2 linked regions of the Rhinolophus ferrumequinum genome follow. The protein of the gene in region 1 purifies or fractionates together with the protein of each later gene. This does not show direct contact. Links are inferred from orthologs where the notes say so. Each region holds a gene or a part of one and is shown in the gene's direction. Other genes may lie near its edges.

Evidence for each region. Proteins that work in one complex are often made in the same cells at the same time.
Region 2: the proteins of DUSP8 (region 1) and MAPK8 purify together in Homo sapiens (affinity purification with mass spectrometry; 3 studies listed by BioGRID and IntAct, counting the BioPlex papers as one, with this or other methods). This does not show direct contact. The link is inferred for Rhinolophus ferrumequinum from reciprocal best matches to the Homo sapiens genes DUSP8 and MAPK8.

What each region holds. Positions count from the first base shown.
Region 1 is NC_046294.1:1,013,243-1,021,034, reverse strand, and holds the start of DUSP8 (dual specificity protein phosphatase 8), read left to right. Parts: upstream 1-4,784; 5' UTR 4,785-4,935; intron 4,936-7,792. UniProt on the Homo sapiens protein: Has phosphatase activity with synthetic phosphatase substrates and negatively regulates mitogen-activated protein kinase activity, presumably by catalysing their dephosphorylation.
Region 2 is NC_046299.1:62,953,982-62,961,066, forward strand, and holds the start of MAPK8 (mitogen-activated protein kinase 8), read left to right. Parts: upstream 1-4,068; 5' UTR 4,069-4,236; intron 4,237-5,692; exon of another isoform or gene 5,693-5,708; intron 5,709-7,085. UniProt on the Homo sapiens protein: Serine/threonine-protein kinase involved in various processes such as cell proliferation, differentiation, migration, transformation and programmed cell death.

The sequences.
Region 1 (7,792 bases):
ACTTCTATGAGGTCCCTAGAATAATCAGATTCACAGAGACAGCAAGCGACGGTGGTGCCTGGGATGGGGGGGGGACGGGAACAGAGTGTCAGTTTGGGTGATGGCAAGAGTTCTGAAGATGATGGTGGTAACGGCCACACAACAGTGTGAATGTGCCAAGTGCCACTGGACGTTGCGCTTAAAATGGTGAAAATGATAACTTTTATGTTATGCATATCTTACCACAATAACAACGTCACCAAAAAAGTCAATTTTACTATATAATAATTGTAAAACTTAAAGTGATGCAGAAAATGGAAAAGAAAAACTTGAATGTGCACGCCGCACCTCTCCTGGACTTGTTAGAACACCGTCTGGCTCAGCAGCTCGGGGAGCGGCTAAGAGCCACGGCGCTGGAGAAATCGGCTAGGGCATTTATCGCAGCACTGCTGTGTGTAGAACAATTTGCAAACAAGCTGGATGTCCCTGGCTACAGGAATGGTACATGGTCTGTTCATACAACGGAAACCTACAGAGCAGCTGAAAGGAGGGAACCAGGCTCACGTGCCCTCACATAAACAGACTGGAAAGTGACAAAAAGCAATGGGAGGGAGAATGGTTCCACTGCAATACTTACCTGTCACTAGTTAAAAGCACCCAAGGGAATAGTCTCTGTTGTATGTGGGACCCAGACATGCGGTCGATCGAGAAAGACAGAACCAGGAAGAAGCCGGCCATGCTGCCTCTGGACAGTGGGGCGAGGGTGGGCAACGCGCCTGGATTCCAGCTGTTGTCTTCCTAATTGGAAGCAAAAACGGAAAACATGCTGACATTGTGAGGTCTGGGAGCGCATTTGTTAGGTTGTTCCCTGTGTTTATTTGTAAGTTTTTAAATATTGTAATAAACCAGGAACAAATCATCTGAAATGCGTTATGAAAAGCATATTGAAGGATGTAGCTGATGGTACTGTTCTTAATAACCAGAATATGGGAATAATGTAGCATCTAATAGAGCGTTGGCTCAAATACCACCATGCATCCATAAAATACAGACATTTATCATCGAGCGGTGGGAATCACAAAAGCATTTCCTTGAGGGAAAAAAAAGTCAGACACAAAAGAATGCACACTGCATGTTCCCATTTCTATGAAGTTCAAGAATAGGCAACGTTAACTGATGGTGATAGGTCAGAAGGTGAGGGGACAGTTGGCTGGAAAGGCTCCCGAGGGAACTCTCTGGGGTGACAGAAATGCGCTAAGTCCTCTTACGGGTGGTGATGGCATGGATGCATACACTTGTATCTATTCGTTCACCTGGGATATGCTTTGTATTAACTATGGCTTGAGTTTTTAAAAAAGTCAGGCAGTGGGACATGGAATACCATGGATAAATGTTAACTATATGTCACTGGTGGAAACAGAAAATTGCAAAGCAACAAGAAAAAGCCAACCCGCTCTTCTGTTCCATGGCAAGGATGCTTTAAAAAACGCCCGCTCTGGGCGTCCTCCCCGCGGTTGCGGGCGGGCGGCAGAGGGCGCACACGGACCGCCACCGCCGGGACCTCTGGGCTCCGACCTGCCAAACTGCCCGACAGGGAGCGCAGGTCTGGCCGGGGGGCTGCCGGCCCCGCGAGCGGGGAGATCCAGCTGTTCCGGAGCCGACCCCGGACGCGGCCTCCGCGCCTCCCTGACCCCGCGCGGGGTCCCGCTCCACCAGAGGACCCCGCGTAGCCACGATCTCCTCCAGGAAACCAGGGCGCGCGGACAGCTGGGCTTGGACCTTGCCCCGCCTGGCACGGCGGCCACTGCGGAAGGCCAGGCCCCTACGGGGAACTGTAACCCCCGCGAGGTGTTCCTTCCTCGCGCGGCCCACCTCTCGGACTACCGCAGCCCACTTCCCAGGCCGCCCCTGCCGCTCCACACCTGTGCAGAGAAGAGATGCTGGTCCTCCCGCAGAGCTGACCCGGTCTTGGGGCGTGAAGCTCGGGGCCCACCTGAGCGGACCAGGAAACCAGGCGGCCGAGCTCTGCTGGGGGCCGAGGGAGCGGCCTGAAGCCAGGAGGGGAACTGAAGAACCAACTGCGAACTGAGGGCCAGAGCTGGTGTCCTCTCCAGAGGGGGTGCCTCCCTAACCGGCTGCCCCATTGTTGCAGAACCACAGGTTTTAAGGGCTCGTGTGCAGGTGAAATGACCATTAGAGTCATGAAATACTCATGGCCTAAACATAGTCAGTCCCCTGGCCAGGCACAACCTGAGAAACTGCATGCCACACGCACACCCCCAAAGCTTCCAGAAGGGGGCACCGGGACACCACCGCCAGCCCTCGCTTTATTGCTGCCTCCTCGGCCTACCTGGGAGCTGCCCAGGGCACAGCTGCCGTTCTTAGGGACCAAGGGCACCCCCAGGCCACATGCAAGCGCTGAGCACATCTGGGCTGGGCAGAAAAAGAGCTGGAGGCACCCCTTCTGCAGGAGCCCAGTTGGACACCCCAGCCTTGCTCTTCCAAATGGGCTCATCCTGGTCTGGCAAGGGGAGCAAGCTGGGTTGGACATCCCCTCCTCAAGGAGACAGCTCTTCTATCTAACCATGAAGAGAACCTCGCTGTTCTGGGTCCTTCCTCACCAGCTCCCTCCGGGGTTCAGCCTGAATCCTCCTGCCCACTCCCAGGGCCCAGCCTCCCCCACTTTTCAGACATGGAGTGAGCCAATGCAGTAAGGCCCCACCACACCCCACACCACTGAGGACCTGGCCAGCATTCTCGCTGGGCATCACCGAGCTCAGGGTCCTTCTCAGCCACCACCTCTCTTCTCAGCAGGCCCTCCCTCCTTGGGGCCCACCCTGGGGCCAGGAAGGAGGAAAGTCCTGAACACAGCCCCAACCCCAGATAGCTCCCCTTCCCAGGGCTTCCTCTGGGACAGCGCCCACCCCCACCCCAAGATGTTTGTACACCATAAGTAGTCTCTGAGCCAGGCAACCCACACACACACCCCATACCACACAACAACCTGATGCTCCTCCGGCCAGCTGGTGAGGCAGACCCATGCACTTACTTAACACCTACTGTGTGCAGAGCCCTGAGGCTGAAACCCACAGTCTGGTGGGAGAACTGAGCATGGGACAGGGGCCAGCCCCTCCGGAGCCCTGCCCAACACTCACCTGCTGCCCTCCCCCATTTCCACTCAGACCGCTGGGGTCTGAGTGGCCTCCCCGCATAGGAAGGGGGCTGCACTCCCCGGGGAACAAAGCCCCTGTCAGATCTGTGATGGCTGAGCTTCTAGGCTGGAGGGAGCCCTGGGGAGGGGTTTAGAAATGTCTGAGCTCTCTAGTCAAACCTCCCCCAAAAGTATTACCTTCAAAGTCTCTGTGAGCTTGTCAACTCCCTGGGGAGGGGTCTTTGTCCCCTTTCTCAGAGTTAAGTCCCGGTGTGTGGCACACGGCCTGGCCCAGAGAAGGGCTCAGTAAATATTTGACAAATCAATAGATGGGTGGCTGCATGTCCTCTTCACCTCGCTGGCTCCGGCACCCTGGCCTCCTCCTGGTGCAGGGACAAGGTCCTCTCCTGCCTGGGGTGGTCCCTCCTGCACCACCATCCTCGTCAGCCTCCAGTCACTGCTTGCATGTCACCTTCTGGGGTGGCCTCCCAGACGCCCACCCACTCAAGTGTCGCTGGCCCCTGTTTGTTTCCGGCCCAACACTTGCCCAAGGTGTAATTAGCTATGTTTGTTCCCGCTCTGGACTCCCTGCGTCCACGCGGAGGGCTGATTGTGTTCCCACAGGGACCGGCTGGGGGCGACCCTCAACAGTCTTTATTGGGGTGGGGGAAGCACACACGGTCGGGGTGGGCCCCGGGAGGGCTGTTTAGGGGCGAGCTGTTTAGCAGTGGCTTTTCACTGGAAACGTCAAGGTCTGGAGGTCATCGGTGAGGCTGGGGGTGACAGCGCTGCACTGCCCCCCCTCCCCCCCCCCCCGACGACAGTTCATGAGATGTGTGACTGAGCCTCTGAGCTTCCAATTCCTCCCAAATGAAGTGGAGACCCAAGTTCCCACCTCCTGGAGTCGTGGAGAGGGTGAGCGCAGAGGCAGGAGGGCGCTCCGCAGGGCCGGCCTCGCGATGCGTGCTCGCGGCCAGGCCCCGGGCTAGCGAAGGCTCTCCTGGTTGCAGGCCCCGCACGAACAAAGGCTGCGGGGGGAGCGGCGGAGGGGCGGCGCCAGCTCTGGCTCGGCCGGCGGGGAGAGGACCCTCGCGCGGGACCGGGTCAGCCGGACCCGCCGCGAGTCTGTGTGCGGTAAGGCTGGGGGTCCCCAAGCCAGGCAGAGCACTGGGGCTGGGAAGGCTTCCTGGAGGTGGGGTTGCAGGCACCGCGCGGCCCCTTTAAGAGCCGGTGCCGGGGTGCGGGGTGAGGGCAGAGGGCGGAGGGCGGCGGCGGCGAGCCCGGCCCCCCGCCCCCCGCGGCCGCCGCCTCTCATCTGCACCCAAAGCTGAGCTCCGGTTGACGTCACCTGCCCCCGAGCCGCGCGCGCTGATTGGCTGCAGGTGACGTCAGGGGCTTTTTTCTCTGGGCATGACCTCATCCCCGCCGGCGGCCCCGCCCTCCGCCCGGGGCCTGTCACTCGCGGCGGAGCGCCGCGGCGGAGCCGGCTCCGCGCCCCCCGCCCGGACGCCGGAGCCCAAGCCCAGCCCCAGCCGGAGCCGCACCGGCCGCGCCCGCCGAGCTGCGGGGTGGGATGCGCGCGGCGAGTGCGCGTGCCCGCCCGCAGTGCGCGCGCCCCGGCCCGAGCAAGCGCTCCCCGCGGCGGCCGCGGCGGCGACGGCGGCGACGGCGACGCGGCCCGCACGCTCCCCAGTCCTCTGCCCCGGCTGCGCGGGCCCCCGCTGGGCCCATGGGCGACGCAGCCGAGTGGGCGCGCTGAGCGCGGCGCGGGTCCCTGGTGCGCCCCGGAGGCGAGAGTGAGCGAGGTGAGCGGGATCGCCGGTGGGGAGGGGTTAACCCGCGCGGAGCGTTCGGGGGCTGCGCCCCGCGGGCGCCCAGGAGGAGGGGGCCTGGAGGTGAGCGGCCCGGGCTTGCAGGGACGCCACGGACAGGACGGGGAAGCCCTTCCCCAGCCTTCCGCAGCGCCCAGCGGACCCCAGCCCGGCCGGCACCCCGCCACCGCTTCGCCGCCTTTCTCCTTGCGATTGCTTCTCACCTTAGTGGGGGGAGGGGCATGAATTAAGGACTCAGGAGGGCCATTTGAGATCCATCTGTCCGGACCTCTGCTGGAGCAGGAGACTCCCCCCACACCGGACAGCCCCCCGTTGGGGCCCAGAATTGGAGAAGGTCGTCCGTGCCGCGGGCGGGTGGGAGATGCGGAGGCCTTGCCATCAGCGTGGAGGGCCTTTGGCCTGTGGGAGGATCAGGGAAGAGCTCGCTCGGTGTTCGGTGGGGAGGGGCTGCAGCTCCATCTCCCCTGTCTGCCCAGGCCACCACGGGCACCCCCACCTCGGGGCGCTCAGCTGGCCTCTGCGGAATAAAGACCGTCGCCAGCCTGCTGCAGAGGCAGCCGGAGCGCTGGGGGAGGGGCTGGCACTGCCAGTCTGAGTGCAGCCAGCCTCCCTCGGCCTATCTACCCACCTGAGGGTGGGTACGTAATAGTCTAGCCGGGAGGGGAAGGGGCACCAACGGGCCGCCGAGCCCCTGCTAGCTCATCCCTTCCGGGAGAATTTGCCTCTGGCTTCTGCTGGGGGGAGTTGGGGGCCTGGGAGCTGCAGTGATGGGGGACGTGGGGGGCTGGGGGGTAGAGGAGAGAGATGGCAGGATCTGCAATGTTCTTGTGCCGCTTGGGGTGGGGTGCTGCAGGCCCAGGGGAGCAGTGTTCTTCCTGCTCTAGGTCCCCGCCCCCTCCCCCCCCAGTGGAAGCCTGAGGATCCCCGCTCCCCGTGGTCTCCCAGGGCAGCCCCGGAATGCATACAGCATCCAGTGCCTCTGCCCTGCTGGGGAGGACAGGTGTCCTATGCATTCAGTCCTCAGATGGTTAATGAGCCCCAGACAAGGATGGCAGTTCACCCTGAAGTCTGGCTGGAATATCTCTTGCTGCCTCAGCCCTTGGGAAGACTCCCGGGCCCAAGGCTGCCTCCCGGAACAGTGTGTCCCATGATCAGAGATGCAGAAAGATGCTCGAAGCCCCCCTCCCAGCATCACCTCTCCTCTCAGGCTGAGGCTCACCTCAGGGCCAGAAGTTTCAACCGGACAGAGGGCTCCAGGGGCCATGGGCTGTAGTGGGGGTCGGGGGAGCCAGAGAGCGTCCTGGTTACATGTCCGAGATGTGCAGCTCGCAAGGAAAGGAAAGGAGGGGGCGAAACCCACAGCAAGACAGATGTGGATCAGACTCTGACCGGGCCTGCATGGGCTGAGGCCGCTTCTGCCTGGACAGCTCCGGGCAGCGACCAGCATATGCCCTGGGCTGGCCCAAGGTGTGACGTGGTGGACAGTGACCAGCAGAGGGCTGGGCTGGGCTGGCTGGATGTGTAGCATGGGGCCAAGCCCTGCAGATGAGGGAGACTAGGAGACCCACATATTATAGGGTCCTGAGCATGCCCTTTCAAGGGCCCACATGCCAAGCCCTCCCCCGCCCCCAGGCTCAGTTCAGACCCCTGGGAACCAAGGGGGCAGGACCCCTCCATCCCATCATCTTCCAAGTCCATAGCCTCTGTTTGGACTTACCATGGGCCCCGCCGAGGGAGTGGAGGCCCGCTTGGGTCCTGTCCCACTCACCCCAGGTCGCCGAGAGGGGGAACAAGGGTACGAGCAATCAGTGGTCCCTGCTGCGGATGGATGAGGAGGGTAAGCGAGCTGACCTGGCGGAGCACGCTACCTGCCAGAGGTCACCCCCTAGCAGTCTCTCCGGATCTCTTAATGTGGCGGTTTCTGCCTCCAGAGGCGCCCTTGGGTCACGATGGGCTGGCCATCTCGGCATCTCAGGTCCCTTGACTGCCAGCTGTTCCCAGAGTCTGCCTGTGTGTGCCAGGCACCACTCCTCCGAGTAAGGGCCACAGCCCCCGTCCTCCCGTGTGCAGCTGACAGTCCTGACAGCCAGCTCTGGAGGTAGTGAGCTCCCCGTCACTAGATGCCAAGCAGAAGGTCCTTGGTGAGCATGCTCAGTTGTGAGGTTCCTGGTCATGCGCGTGCAGGAACATGACTGTACCTCGTGGAGGCCCTGGGAGCTGATGGTGTGAGGTTGTGCAGCTGGCAACTGGGATTCGGGTGCCCTGGGATTTGGGGGGATTTGGCGTGCAGAGGGTGAGGACACATGTCTAATGACCACATGTGTGTGCGTGCACATTTGCAGGTAACTGCATACAGCAGTGGGGGGATGAAGTGGTCCGTGGGGGTCAGTGTGCAGAGCGTTGTGTCCCAGCAGGCACAGCAGGCGTACAGCACAGGAGCAGGGGGGGCAGGGGTCCTGCCTGTGGACTGGGCGTGCAGCACACCTGGTCTCCCGGGGCAGCGCCCCGCCACCTGCACCCAGGCTCTGGAATAGGAGGTGATAGGTGCTCTGCCCGTCAGTTCCCAGGAATGGTGTCTGGGCTGAGTCTGGGGTGGGTCCATGAAAGTGGGGAGTGCCAAGACCCTCCAATATCTATTTCCACTGTGCCCACCTGGCCTGTTCTAGCCCCACTGATCTGCTCAAGGCTGTCCTTAGCTTCTCCACCCTGCCCCCCAGCTCTGCCCAGCTCTGGGTCCTGATCCGTAGCATTTTGGGGAAGGGGAGAGGTAAGGGGTCTGCCCCCCAGGAGCTGCAGGTCCAAGGAGGCCCCGTGAGTGAGGATGCACTCT
Region 2 (7,085 bases), on another chromosome or scaffold:
GACTTTGGCAGAGGTTGGGAATTTACAGGGGTTTCCCTGCCAAAGAGTTATTTGTAGAGTTCCAGCCAGTCTAGCATGAGTTCGTTTTATATCTGAAGGGTGAAGGATGAAGCCCTAGAGGTGGAGATGGAGAGGGAGGTGGAGGTGCAGATGGAGATGGATAATCCCTAAAGCTGCCAAGGGAGAGAGACCAGGAATGGGGTGCTGTCTTCTCTCCACCACGGGGCCTGGACAGACCTTCTGCAGTATAGGAATTGCAAATGGCAAAATTCCACTGGGCTGGGAGAAATTCTAGGCTCGAAATTGTAAATGGTGCAGAGAGTCTATGCTAAAAGGTCTGACAGAAAGCCTTCTTCCTAATCTATATTTATTTAAAACAACAACAAGAGTTTTTTTTATCAGTTATAGAACTTCAGCAACTTATTCTTTCCTTCCCACTCAATTCCTTTAGTCTTTTTCTCCAGTGGATAAATATTGAATATCTTTAATATCTGAGTGTGGATGGAGAAAAGACATACTTAAGCTGTGAGAAGTGAATGCAGAACATTAGAATAAAAGAGCCAACAATGAAAATAAGGCCTAAGAGAGAACCTGAACACAAAAGATAGTGAGGGGCAGGTTGTCCTGTCCTGTTTGCTCTGAGATTTTAAAGAACAGAAAATATGCTGAATTTCTTAAGGCACTGGCTCTCAATCTTGGCTGCACATCAAAATCACCTGAGGGGTTTTGGAAAAGCTACAGAATCCTGGGTTCCACCGCAGACCACTGAAGAAGGATCTCCAGAAGTGGAGTCCAGCTGTGGGAGTTGAATTCCCAAGTTAATTTGAACGAGCAGGTCAACTTGAGAGGCACATCCTAGAGCAGTGGCTCTCAAACTTGAGTGCTCATTAGAAATACAGGCATACCTCCTTTTATTGCACTTCACTTTATTGCGATTCACAGGTATTGTGTTTTTTATAAACTGCGGTTAAGACCCTCCGCCAGCAAAAATATTACAAATCACTGTATTGCAGTGATTTGGAACTGAACCCACAGTTCCAGGGCTCCTTAAAATGCAGAGTGCTCTCCCTCACCACCCCAAGTCTTCTAATTCAGATGTCTGAAATGACTCTGAGAATCTGCATTTCCAGCAAGCTCCCAGGTGATGCTGACATTGCTGGTCTGGGACCACAGTTTGAGACCATCTTAGAGGAATAAATGCTGACCATTTTTTTCCCATGAAAACATGCATGTGTACTCAATCTATAGGCTTCACTAGTTGGTTTGTCTCTCTCTTGTGTTTACCTGGAAGCCATGTGTGCATATGGGGGTGAAGGAGAAGGAGGAAGCCCAAACGAAGAAGGGGGTACTACTTATAAGTTCAAATCAGAGAGCCACCCACTTCTACCTTCACATTTTTTTGTTCAAGGTGTGACTGAGGAACTCTGGTCATTTTTGATTCTGTTGTACTCCCGATGAAATAAGCCATCGTTCTTGCAGTTGAAAAGATAATTTACAACATGAGCACTCATCTTTCCTCTACTCATGCAACCAGAGACAGAGCTGCTCTCTCTGAAGTCAGCAGGCTCTGCCTTGAACAAGCCCTAAAGAGCACCTCAGAGTCAGAGGGTGATTAACTGAAGAGCTGAACCTATTCCTCCTATGGATGCAGAAGTAGACTGTAAGGTCATGGTTGGGAAAACAGATGGGTTGACTTGAAAGCAAGGCTGAAGGAGGAGGGTGGTGAAAGTGGGGTCAGAAAGTTAGAGGTGTCCTTGGAGATGCCCTTCAGCAGGCCTTAGTAAGCCCCCCTCCCCGACTCCCCTTCTTTGGAATGAGGTCAAGAAACTAGGAAGTGAAATAAAGTTTCAAATTTTGGTTTCTGCACCCTTGAACAGCTGGGTGTGAGATGCACCTGAGACCTTAGCTAAAGTCTCAACTCCACTGCAATTCAGTGTGTGTGTGGTCTGCAGAGAATGACAAGGGAAGTGCTCTGGACAGGGTGCGACCTCTTCTTGACCATCTCTCAGGGCTCCAGCAGAGAATGGGTTTAAGGGGCCTACAGTGTTCCCTTCCCGCCTTCCCCCATCCCAGCCTCAGAAAGACCCAAGGACCAGCTTTCCCCAAGACAACTCCCCTGGGATAAGAGGCAAATAAACCTGAATTCCTTAGCTCTTCCTCTTTTTCTGAGTCTGCACCCAAAAGGCTCACAGGGAACCATAATAGGTTAACAAGGAACTATGACATGAGAAGGAAGAAGGAGGCCCAGAGCCACATCTGGGTTACAAAAAGCATTTTGCCTTTGCAGAATATCAGAGATGATTACATTCAATCACAAGCAATGAATGTTTTCTGGAATCATACACATGCACACATACATACATAAACACGCAGGATGTCCGTTCTAGATGTAGGTAATTGGGAGATGACAGTAGCAGGCTGAAGCTAACTCAGAAACTCTCCCTGTTGAATGAGAGGCTGTGAGTAGCATTACAGAACTGGGCATAAAACTCAGGAACTCTGTTCTGCAACACCACTCACTTCACAACGACCCTATGATATTGTCTTTTGTCACCTCCAGGTCTTTAACATTGTCAGGTGGGAAGTAGGAAGTACTTGCTGATGCTTCCACCTGGGTGTCCAATTATACCCTCCCACCTCCCCCACACACACTCCTCCAGGAAACTTACACTCATGCTTCTTGTATGCTACCTCTCCCTCTCAACAGAGTCTTTCTATCAGATGTAAAGTATCCTGGCATCTTTTTTCACTGCCTAATTCATCCATTTCCACTGCCTCCGTTTTCTCATGTCCCATTCATTTCTTAGCCCATTCTAATCCACTTCCAGATCTCAGTACACCAGGATTTCAGGCCTCCTTTTTTTTTTTTTTTTCCAGGCCTCCTTTTATATTTGATGTTATTGATCACTCTTTTCTTCTTGACTCTCTTTTTCCTTCTACCTCCCTGGAAGCTCCTTCACAGGTTCATCCTTTTCATTGGCCATTCAATGTTCCATTTATGTTCCACTTCAGAATCACTGGAAACAGGCCAGCCCAACATGACATGGGAGAAGATACTCTCTGAATTCACTAATTTATTCAACAAATATTTACGTTCATTATTTATTCATCATTAAAATAACACACTTTTTTCTGATTATTAACATAAACTGTTCCATTTGGAAACCATGAAAAAAATATCCAAAGTTTAAAAGAGAACCAATTCACCTTTTATTCCACAGTTCAATGATGAACTACTGTTAAAATAATTTGGCAGATTTCCTTCTAGGTTTTTTCTATGTATACATAGTATATAAGTAGGATAATTTTATGAATATAGACTTGTTTCTTTCTCTTAATCTATTATGAACAGTTTCTTTTTAGCAATTCCTTGAACACATCACATTTACATGGCTAAAATGCATTCTATTGCATGGGTGTGTGTCATTTGAACAGATTTCCACCCATTGTTGGATATTTAAAAGCTTGTCTGTTATTTCGATAACTAACGTACACTCGCTTTGTGGGGCCCAGAGACAAATAGGGTAGTGCACGGAATCTGGTAGAAGGTGGACTTTAGGAAAATAGGGGGCAGCTTTTTCAGATGGCTGAGGAGAACATTTATTTGCTTGTGGGGTGCTGGGCCCGGGGCAGTTGTCCTTACAATGTAATATATTGTCTGTCAAGGCAATGAGCTCTTCATCTCTTACATGTGTGCCTGCTCCACCAGCCGGTTTGGTCTAAGCACATCTGACCTCCAAATCCTGGGGAGAAGAGCCCCAAAGGATTGGGCTCAGACTAGCGTACCGCCCCAGGCCCGTTGCTGAGCGGCCTGGCCACGCGCCGCCACGTGCCAGGATCAGGGCTCCGCCCCCTACGGTTCCCCGCCACGCCCCTCACTCGACGCTCTCAGAGGCTCTCCGGCAGCTCCTCCTTCAGGCGACCTCCGCTAATCCTCCCGGCCCCCTAGGGTAGCCCCGCCCCCAGACTGCGGGCCCCGCCCCCGCAATCCGGGCCCCGGGGCTGCCCCGCCCCGCGGCTGCTCGCATGGCGCAGGGGCGGTGCCCTGCGCGATGACGTGAGCGGGCGTGCGCGGTGACGGCCCGCGTCCCTGTTACTCAGCGGAGCGGCCGAGGCCGGACGACGCGGCCGGGATCGCAGAGCCGCGAGCAACGCTGGGTAACGGCCGCTGCGACCGCCCGGACGGCACCGGTCCCCGCCGGCGGGCTTTCCTGTCGCCGTTCGGTGCGCTGCCGGGTGAGTGCGGCGGGCGCCGGGGGACCAGGTCGGCCGGCGGCCCCGCCGTGTTTATGTTATTGTGCCGACGCCTTCCTCTCAGCCGTGACCCCCTCCGGGGAGTGGGAGCGGGAGCGCGCGGGGGACGCGCGGCGAGCGGGGGCCGCGCGGGAACAATAGCGGCCGGGGAGGCGGGGCGGGCCAGGGGGCGTGGGGCTGCGGGACCCTGGCGCGCCCTGGCGGTTCGCCCCCGGCTCCGCCGCCCCAGCTCCGCCCGTCTGTCCTCGCGCAGGTCTCGTGTCCACGTCTGGAGGGGAAAAGGAGCGGGGGTGGGTGGCAAGTTCTGAAACACTTCGGCGAAGGTCGGGACCGAGGCGCGTTGGCGGCCCGCCGCGCCCTGGCTGCCTCCGCCGGCGGTGGGCAGTCGCGGAGAGCGTTCAGGTCACCGGGTCCCAACGCCTGCCTGTCCTCCACGGAGACCGTGTTTTGTTTCTCGGTGGTTTCTTTGTGCTAACGTTCAGGGCGAACACAGGCAGCGCCGCCGAGGAAAGGCTGGGGTGGCCTTCAGCTCTGGGCTGCGAGGGGCAGCCCCGGCCCGTGGTTTGAGCGGGAGGTGTCCATCCAGCTCCGCGCGAGCTACGGTGGTCAGCGCGCATTTCTCATGAGGGTCACTCGATGGTGACCTTTTGACTTTTTCATCCCACCCTCTCATCTCTTTGTCTTTCACTTAATGTTTCCAATTATTAGATGGCGGATCCAAGTCCGTTTTAAAGTATTGCAATGAACACTTTTCATTTTAATTTCTGGAAGTTCCCCATCAGATGTTTACTGTGAACTTAATAACATGTTGACTGCATGGTATCAGACAATGTCCAGTGGTTACTATTTTTACCTCTGAAATTCAATGATCTTTCCAGTAGAATTCTGTTCTGTCAGTCCATTGTGTTTTAACAAGTACCTCCTTGTCAATTAGAACATCTGTTTATTTCATTCATTCATTCTATCATTTATTCATTCATTCAGCAACTGTTCAGTCGTGTACCCTGATGAAGAGTTTGAAGGTAAAGAGAGATATCCTTTAAAGATAGAAAATGCTTTGACTGAAATATAGTAGATGTACCTTTAAATAAAGCGATTATATAAGTGATGTGTGTTAAAGAAAGTACTGATACTCTGGGTAATTTTAATACTTTTTAGCAGTAGATGTGGAACTTCTAGTAGCATGTTATATTAGGAAGTAGAGCTAGGTTTGATCTAAATGTACAACAGTTTTTATTCATTTTCAAATTTAATTTTTTAATCTTACAGCTGTATAGCCTTACAGTCATTTTTAATGTTTACCTCAGATTTCCTCGCTGTGGGTTAAGCCTAGGAGGTCAGATGCTGTAAGTGAACGTATTTAGTGCTGTGCCTGACAAAAGCAAGCAGTCAAAATGGGACTTAAGGACAGACCTATGTTGTATCTGTGTCTCCAGCACCCAGCCTGGAATATAGTAAGTGTTCAGTAAAAGTCAGATTGATGAAAAGCTCTTTACAACTGATAATATTTAAAATCAAGCCTTAAAAAATTTTAATTTTCTCTGTAAAGTTTTGGGAGCCTCATGCAAACTATCACTTCCAAATCGCTAAATGATTAGTTCATATATAGGTCAAGACGGTAGTGGCTTTTGAATAACTTCAGTATCAGTTTTGTTTTTATCACTGCTAAACCATTCACTATCCTAAAATAAAACCTTGTCTAAAATGTGTGTATGTATGTGTGTATCTGTGTATATGTAGGGTTTCCAGGTGGGAATTCCCTCCCGTTCTCAGGAATTTTTTTTTGCTTCCCTGGTCCAGAATCCCAAGATATAAACTGGTTTCTGTTCTCCACCATGAATCGGTGACACCGATACTGCCAACCGCCTAGGTTCAAGGAGCCGATTTTCCTGATTTCCCGACCAACTTTTCTCAGAATTCGGGAATGAGAAAGCAAAAAAAATTCCTGAGAACGGGTGGGAATTCCCACCTGGAAACCCTGTGTATATATCGCTCGCGCGTGTGTGTACACACACAAGCGCGCGCACGCGCACGCGCGCGCGCGCACACACACACACACACACACAGTGATATTTCAATAGAGGTCTAAAATGGTTGCATTTATCCTTCTGAGAATATCATTTGAAAAGTTTCTGATGACTCCTTTAAGTGGAAAAGGTAGAACAAAGGAAATAGGTTGCATCAAAATTTTATTAGAAATGTTTAATTTCTAATAACATTTTAGAAATGTTTGTTGGAAATGTTTTATTTTAAATCTTCCTTTATTTTAAATACTATTGGTGGAGCATATGGGCCTAAAACTCAAAATAATATCAGTTTGTCCAAGTTATATCTCTTTTACATTCACTATGTAATAAATTTTAGAATTTGTTTTGGATTTGAAAGAATTAGGAGTGAACTTATTATCTGATGTATGGAACAAATCAAGAAATAAGAAAATTATATTTTATAGAATAAGCGATGAAAATCTTAAGATACGAAACTTTTATTGCTTTTCCTAATTAAGGTATGTCCGATTCCAGTAAGTGTTATTGATACAAATCCTTTGGCAGTAGCTCACTGTCGGGCTCTTTGTCAAACCAGAGCTTTTTTGTTTTGTTTTCTAAATTTTGATTTTAAGACTACCAGCATTATTGAGATATAATTTACATACCATAAAATTTACCCTTTTAGAGTGTGCATCATGGTTTTTAACATATTCATAAAGTTATGCATTGATAACCACTAATTCCGGAACGTTTTCGTCACTCCAAGAAGAAATCCCCGTACTCACTAGCCCTAGTCTCCCATTCCATTCTAAATTATGTTAAAAGGAAGAGATAGCATTAATT